Linked DNA regions of Macaca fascicularis. The protein of the gene in region 1 interacts with the protein of each later gene in a pairwise test. Links are inferred from orthologs where the notes say so. Each region holds a gene or a part of one and is shown in the gene's direction. Other genes may lie near its edges. The genes, in order: DNAJB11 and UBR1.

Evidence for each region.
Region 2: the proteins of DNAJB11 (region 1) and UBR1 interact in a two-hybrid assay, tested with the Homo sapiens proteins (2 studies listed by BioGRID and IntAct). The link is inferred for Macaca fascicularis from reciprocal best matches to the Homo sapiens genes DNAJB11 and UBR1.

What each region holds. Positions count from the first base shown.
Region 1 is NC_088376.1:98,516,690-98,521,292, forward strand, and holds the start of DNAJB11 (dnaJ homolog subfamily B member 11), read left to right. Parts: upstream 1-1,767; 5' UTR 1,768-1,975; coding exon 1,976-2,043; intron 2,044-3,169; coding exon 3,170-3,326; intron 3,327-4,603. UniProt on the Homo sapiens protein: As a co-chaperone for HSPA5 it is required for proper folding, trafficking or degradation of proteins.
Region 2 is NC_088381.1:19,657,777-19,661,593, reverse strand, and holds part of UBR1 (E3 ubiquitin-protein ligase UBR1), read left to right. Parts: intron 1-113; coding exon 114-237; intron 238-743; coding exon 744-851; intron 852-1,583; coding exon 1,584-1,672; intron 1,673-3,545; coding exon 3,546-3,644; intron 3,645-3,817. UniProt on the Homo sapiens protein: E3 ubiquitin-protein ligase which is a component of the N-end rule pathway. Recognizes and binds proteins bearing specific N-terminal residues that are destabilizing according to the N-end rule, leading to their ubiquitination and subsequent degradation.

The sequences.
Region 1 (4,603 bases):
AAAAAAAAAAGAAAAAAGAAAACAGGGTGGTGTAAGAGTAAGAGCTCAGTAGGGGCTAATTTTGATTGATTGGTCAGGGAAGTCTTCTCTGAGGTGGTGACCTTTAAGCTGATACATGAGTTAAAGAAGGAATCACCCATGGTAAGACATGAGGGAGAGTACAGCGTTTCAGGCAAAGGGAACAGCTAACACAAAGGCCTTCGGCAGGAATGTGCTTGGTGTATACAAAAAAGAAAGGAAGCAAGTTTTGCTGGAACATGGTTAGGAGCATAATAGGTGAGAGGACAAAGCATAAATGGCTTTGTAAACTAGCATAGAGCTGGGATTTTATTCTAAGTGCAAATGAAGAGCCATTCCAGGCTTTTAAACAGGGGAGTGACATGATTTGACTTTTATTTTTTATGTATTTATTTTTTTTTGAAATGGAGTCTCACTCTGTCGCCCAGGATGGAGTGCAGTGGCAGGAACTCAGGTCATTGCAACCTCCACCTCCCAGGTTCAAGCAATTCTCCTGCCTCAGCCTCCCGAGTAGCTGGGATTACAGGCGCTCGCCACCACACCCTGCTAATTTTTGTAGTTTTAGTAGAGACGGGGTTTCACCATGTTGGCCAGGCTGGTCTCAAGCTCCTGACCTCAGGTGATCCGCCCATCTCGGCCTCCCAAAGTGCTGGGATTACAGGCGTGAGCCACCGCGCCCGGCCCTTAAAAAAAAAAAAAAAAAAGGAGTGAGGGACAGGGATGAGCAACATATATGAAGGTATTAAGGAAGATATTAAGAGTGGAGACAAGGAGGCCAGTTAGGAGGCCCTGGCCAGGTGAGAGATACACTGTGATCCAGAGACCTAGTAATGGAGATGTAGTGAACAGATTCAAGTATAGTTCAGAGGTAAAGATTTGGATAGCTTATATATGAAAGGAGTAAAAACACCTAGAGCTTTGTCCTGATCAACTAGGTGTTGTGTAACTGTGATGAGCAAAATCGGGGGGGAAGACGGGGAATCAAAGACTTATGCTCGAACAGTAATAATGGTTTTTATTCATTGCCTGCTTACTATACGCCAGACGATTTACAGATTTTTTTTCCCTGTTAAAATTCACAGAACTGCCAATAAGTGCTTTGCCTTAGTTTTGTTGATAAAGAAACTTAGGCTCAGACTTGGGAGGAGGGAAGGAGTAAGGAGTCTCACCACTGAGAAGCGGTGCAAGCCGAATCCGCACTTAAGTCGGTCAATCATCACTGTCGCCTTTCCGAGACTTATGGAGTTGCTTGGAGAACGTAAAATAAGAGTCCTAAGCAATGCGTCCGATGTACAGTTGGGGAATAACCGTCCCCGCTCATTCTGCCGCTGTTCCCTCATTCTGCTCCCGCATTCGGCGCGTAGCTGGGTATGAATGAAATTCCAAACTTGAAACACAGAGAAAACTTCTCTCCCACAATTGGTTGGTGCTGGGGAGGAGCCTCCTGATTGGTGGAAAGTTCGAGGAAGTGGGTGAGTCGGGGAGGATTTCGTGTACCTCAGGTGCCCTTACTCGGACCAGCCCCCTACCATTACGTAATTTTCTACGACTCGGGGTAGCTCGGGCAGAGCGGGTTCCTGCAGCGGCGCGACCCTCTGACGTCTCCTCTTCTAATTGGTCAAGATCTGCGACTGCAGTTCTGAAGCCTAACTGGCTACCCGTGCCGCCTCGGAGGTGAAGTGTACTGCGCTGATTGGCTTTCAGGCGCCGGCCGCGTGTGATGTCCCGGGCAACGATTGGCTCTCGCTTACCGGGGTCTTCTCTCACCGGGACTTGGGACTCCCGGGAAGTGGACTGGAAGAGGAGGGGGCTAGCTAGCTGTCTCTGCGGACCAAGGAGGGGACCCCCCCGCCCCCCAGTGTGAGGCGCCTCACAGGGCTGGGTGGGCTGGCGAGCCGACGCGGCGGCGGAGGAGGCTGTGAGGAGTGTGTGGGACAAGACCCGGGACAGAGGAACCATGGCTCCGCAGAACCTGAGCACCTTTTGCCTGTTGCTACTGTACCTCATCGGGGCCGTGATTGCCGGGTGAGGAATAGACACTCGCAGACAGCGGGGCCCGGGGGTCAGCCTTTGCTAGGGGGTGGGAGGGGGTGGGGGAAGTGGTATTGCCAGACTGAGGGAGTGGAGAGGGGCATCGCTGTGGGTTGGCGGGGTGGCGGAGGAAGGGGTAGTATGGGCCAGACTAGTGGGGTGAGAAGCGAACCGTAGGTGACACCAGTGAGAAGGCGTTAGGTCCAGAGAAGGTCTTTGGTAGAGCTAGATTTGCCCGGAGGAGTGGGAGTTGGATGCATTGCCAACGGCATTTGGGGGATGAGGGAAAGAAGGTGGTTGTGAGCTGGAGCACTGTCACGTAGAGCTGGGGGAAGAAAGAGGGATGCCTGACTGTAAGGAAAGGTAGTGACAGTGCTAGGCTGAGGTTGGGGGGATGGACGTTTGTTTGATCAAAGAGGTGGGTTGCTGTGCCCCGCTGAGCTGGAGAAGCGGACGATGCTCTATGCCAAGCCTGCGAAGAGCCATTGGGGGGCTGACATTAAAGTGGGTGGATGATGCCAGGCCGAGTTGGGACTGAAGGAAATTGGATGGGGAGGGGAACAAGAAGACCCTTTGGAGAGCCCTTGTGCTTCCCAGCTTCTTGAGCTATTTATTGTCTTAAGTTGCTTCGTCTTTAACATTCTGGCAATGCTACTGTTAGGACATTTATGTGGCATAATCTTTTTAAATAAGGAAAATCATCCCTTGAGAGTGTTATTTGACTTTTAGAAAAGTCAAAATCATTTGGAGCAAATGTAGAGAAAGGGGGGAAGAGTTAATTTGATTATATGGTTATTGCCTAAAGATAACATGAGACCATAAAATAAGGAAGTGGTTTTCTTGACTGAAGGTGGTTCTGAAAGAAGATGCCACAGATGTTTTGAATAATCTAAAAAGAAGTATGTAGCTTCTTACTGTGATTACTTCAATATATAAGATTCATTACAAATTCTGGTGTTCTCTTTTTAGTCATTCTTTGTGTGTATATGTGTCACATAAACGTTCACTTTCGTACCTCTTTGCTCAGACACAAACCTAAATGTAGAGGAAAAATAAATCTTTTACTTTTAAAAATGTAACATGTAACTCTGATGAAGTATTCTCTCCCTCTACTTCCCAGACGAGACTTCTATAAGATCTTGGGGGTGCCTCGAAGTGCCTCTATAAAGGATATTAAAAAGGCCTATAGGAAACTAGCCCTGCAGCTTCATCCCGACCGGAACCCTGATGATCCACAAGCCCAGGAGAAATTCCAGGATCTGGGTGCTGCTTATGAGGTGAGTCAGGAAAAGTGATAAAGAACAAATAAAATCTGTAGCTCTAGAAAAAATATACAATACAGAGAAATACTCTTTTCAGCTCACATATATTTATTTAGAGACTGAGTCTCACTTTATTGCCTAGGCTGGAGTGCAGTGGTGCAATCTCTGCTCACTGCAACCTCCGCCTCCCCGGTTCAAGCACTTCTCCCACCTCAGCCTCCCGAGTAGCTGGGATTACAAGTGCATGTCACCACGCCTGGTTAATTTTTGTATTTTTAGTAGAGACAGGGTTTCACCATGTTGGCCAGGCTGGTCTCGAACTCCTGACCTCAAGTGACCCGCCCGCCTCGGCCTCTCAAAGTGTTGGGATTACAGGTGTGAGCTACCACGCCCAGCCCAGGTCACTTTTATTTAAAAGTAGATGGTAGATGAAAGTAAAAGTAGTACTTGATACTGTATTGTACTAGATATTACATTCATGTTAGTAGATACCATTTTCTGCCTTTTGATATTAATATTTATTTTAAGAAGGAGAATAATGCTGCAAAAGAATAAATGAAAGATTGGTAGATTAATAAGTAGATCAACTGATTGGTCTGTCAGTCAGTCAGTTTGGGAGCTAGACCAAAAATAAAAAGAAAGCCTTCATGAGAGTTGCAAACCTACATGTTCATATGAACTAGACAAATAACATGCAGGGCAGGTATAAATTAAAACATGACAGCAGATATTCTGCCTCCATGTTGGGAAGCAATAAGGATTGTTGAGGGCTTTGACAAATTGAAGCCTTCTGGCCCCATTTCAAGGGAGCAGCTGTTACCTCAACCCTAGCCAGTTTTTGTCATAGTAATGCAAACAGTATGTTCCTAGATGATTTAATTTTTCCAGAAAAGTTGAAAATCTAGACTTTTATATAAGTTCTGCTTGTAAAAATGTTGGTAACTAATTCAGTTAAATTTCTTTTTTACGTAGATCAAACAAAGCACAGTTTTAATTTGATTTTCCAACCTCTAATCTGGGGACCAAAACACTCTCCATTTGTATCATCTCATTTAACCTTCACTAGGACACCAGGAAATACATTAGAGCTAGGCATATTTTTATTCTCATTTTCTAAATGGACACAGAAAAAAATTAGTTGAACTAAAAGTCATAGAGCTAAAACTCCCGAATTTAAGTTTAAATTCTTATATATTGAGAAGGCTAAAAACAAATTGAAAAGTATTTTAGGAAGACATAAACCTTGAAAGGAAGGAATCCCAAGATCTCTTAGATTAAAGAAACAATGGAGG
Region 2 (3,817 bases), on another chromosome or scaffold:
TGCAGAGATTTGGAACTGGCAGGGTTATGTGATTTCTTTTTTTAAAGTATAAATGCCTTAACTAAAAGCAAATTTTAAATGCTATTTTTTTGGTTTGTTCCCTTCATTTGTAGAGTCATTCAGAAAATGTCTCTCAACATCCACTTCATGTAGAAGTATTACACTCAGAGATTATGGCTCATCAGAAATTTGCTTTGCGTCTTGGTTCCTGGATGAACAAAATTATGAGCTATTCAAGTAAGCATACCTCCTGTTTTTCTTGTTTCTGATAAAATACTGTGTTTTTTATAGTCACAAATTTTAAAATGTCATCGAGTATGAAATACAGTTTTTCTTTTTTTTTTTTTGGTTTATACACTTTGATTAATTTTCAGGGTTGCATTTCAAATGCATAATATCTTAAGATATTATTTCAAGTGCATAGTATCAAATAATACCTTTTTGTTGACTGTTGAGTCTTTGATGTTGACAGAATTATTCTTTACATCAAATGTGGGAGGATTAATGTTAGTCTTTTCACATGTTATAGGAAATGTATTTTTAGGATAAATATTATAAGAATAAAAATTATGGCTGAGTGCAGTGGCTTGTGTCAGTAATCCCAGCACTGTGAGAGGCTGAGGCGGGAGGATCACCTGAGCCCAGGAGTTCAAGACCAACCTGGGCAACAGAGTGAGATTCATCTCTATGTAAAAAGAAAAAGAATACAAGTTGTGTAATTGTGTGACCTCTTTTGTTTGTAGGTGACTTTAGGCAGATCTTTTGCCAAGCATGCCTTAGAGAAGAACCTGACTCGGAGAATCCCTGTCTCATAAGCAGGTTAATGCTTTGGGATGCAAAGCTTTATAAAGGTAAGTAGACATTTGCTTATGCTTTTTGTCAGGAAGCAAAGGAAGATTATGATCTTAAAGTGGAGCTGTAATATCTTTTGTTTATTAAATTAGTTATTAAATCTGTGATCTTGATTGATAAGGTATTACATGTGAATATCAGGTTTAACCAGTCAGTATGTATTCTTTGGTGTTAAAACGCAGGGATGTTATCTTTTAATTATAGAGTCTTTTCATTTAGTGAGAGCCAGTCAAAAAGAGTATATACATATATATATATATATATATATATATATACACACACACACACATACACACACATACATGTATCTATAAATTCAGGTAGTAATGCCATTGTTGAGTGGCAAAAAAAAAGCTCTTTTCATTGTAAAAATCTAAATGAAGAACAAAGTGTAAAAGTCAAGAGAAAGGCTAAAAGCATGGAGAAGGAAAAGTTCAGAGTAAGAGTACTTTTGAGTGAAATAGAAAAAGAATGAAAAGGTTGAGAGAGAATCAATTGAAGTGTAAGATGAAGTGGTGGGAGGGGTACAGAAAAAAAGGGAAAAGGCAATATATGTGTGTATTTTAAATTCTAGTTATTAAATATTAATACAATAAATACTGTTTATATTTGAGGTCTGTTTGCATGTGAAATAATTTTATAATATTCTGCCACTCTAATAGATGGAATGTTTTTGGTTTTTGCCTTGGTGATTCCCCTCATTCCCCCACCCTCCCCAAAATAATCTATAGGTGCCCGTAAGATCCTTCATGAATTGATCTTCAGCAGTTTTTTTATGGAGATGGAATACAAAAAACTCTTTGCTATGGAATTTGTGAAGGTAATTATTTATAAATTAGATATCAATAAATACAAATAGGCAGTTTTTATAAATGAATTAATAGAAACAGATAATTATGAATCCAAAATTAAATGTTATGATTCATTTCTTTATCAAAAGTTCATTCTTGGCCCTGAGGGTTGACTCACCCCTGTAATCCCAGCACTTTGGGAGGCGGAGGTGGGTGGATCATTTAAAGTCAGGAGCTCGAGACCAGCCTGGCCAACATGGTGAAACCCCATCTCTACTAAAAATACAGAAATTAGCTGGGCATGGTGGCGGGTGCCTGTAGCCCCAGCTACTCAGGAGGCTGAGGCAGGAAAATCGCTTGAACCCTGGAGATGGAGGTTGCCGTGAGGCAAGATTGCGCCACCACACCCTAGTCTGGGCAACAGAGTGAGACTCCTATCTCAAAAAAAAAAAAGTTCGTTCTCATACATTACATAAATATTTTCACAAGTGTCATTTGCTTGTATAGAAACAGCGCTCTTAGAGAAGAGATAGGTGGAAAATGACCTACTGACCCAGAGCAAAGGGAGATTATCACATTCACATATGCATTCAGTCTTCCTAGTCATTTATTTGCCTGTTTGTAAAATTACAATAAGAATAGAAGTAACTAACTGATAAAGGATAGCAGGAAAGAAGAACAGATGTGTATGCTAAAGTGGGGTGCAGAAATTAGGTGGCCAAGGGTTCTACTTAATTGTTGGAAGCTAAAATGTGAGGCTAAAATTTACAGCTTTTTAATGTTTTATTAATCTATCATATATCTCTTACCTTACTGTGTCTTTTTGTCTATCAACCAAATTAGATTGCAAGGTTATACATATCAAGGACTCCTTTGAATCTTTTATTTTGCCTTATATAAAGGTATCCAGTAATACTTGTTGATTTCCTCTGATTTTGAGTTGCAGTCAATTCTGTAAGACTTAAGATAGATATAGGACCCAAGATGGAATTGGAAGCAGAGAAAGAAATAATGATTGTTGTAAGCAAATGACACTGTGGGATAAGATACCTGCATTCCCTGGATTTTATATGCAGACTTACAAGTAACTAAGACATTTGTTGTATGTCTTATCCTTCATCAGTGATGGCAACTTAAGATGTTCTCTTCTAAAACTCTTTAGATATAGAATATTGGACCATATGTGTGATCTCAAATGAAATTTTGTTTTCTTATACAAAAGCTAATCTCCCTACTTAGATGATTTTTTTTGTACACCATGGTTACCCCTTAAACTTTGTAGGAATTTTGGAGGGTAAAATATCCAACTTAAAATAGGTTAAGTATCCAACTTTGTGCCTTGCACATAATAGATGCCTGTTATGTGACTGAATGTATTACCATTTTTGTTCTCCCAGTTTATCAGAGTTGTTTTGCAGCTGTTATGTACCAGTATGGGAAAGAAGTTATTTGCAGCCAGCATCCATTCTGTTTAAGGCTGGATTCAATCTGATTGGTTGGTTTTTCTGGGTCATATCAGTTGTTAAATACTTTGAATATATTCCCTGCCCAATACCATTAGAGTAGAAGTTGCTAAAGGTTGCCCCAGATTCTGTTTGGAGAAAGGATAAACTATACCATTGCAGTCCTCTGTTTTTTTGTTTTTTTTTTTTAACCTGTATGTATGTTTTAATAGTTTCCACTTCTATCTCTGCTAAATTGAGTAGGTGAATTTTTACTTGATTTGTTGTTTGTTATTCTCCTTCTAAGATATTTTTGTTGATCATAATATCTTGCCTCAATAAATAGGAATTATCTTACTTGACATTTTATGGATAGAAACTTGCAGCAGTTATTAAAATTGTGATTTTTTAAAGGTCTTTAGTAGTGATTTATAATTGATTCTCTACTTATATATTTCAGTATTATAAACAACTACAAAAAGAATATATCAGTGATGATCATGACAGAAGTATCTCTATAACTGCACTTTCAGTTCAGATGTTTACTGTTCCTACTCTGGTATGTATTGATTATATTCCTTTTCAATCTTTCTAAGTAAAACTTGTTTTGCTTTGTAAGAATTCTACTTAATGTTGAATCAAATTAGAACAATGTTAGAATCAGTAAGTTGGGCTATGTGAATACTTTAGTGCTACCCAAGGACTAGTTAAGTAGGCGCTGCCTTGGTTCAG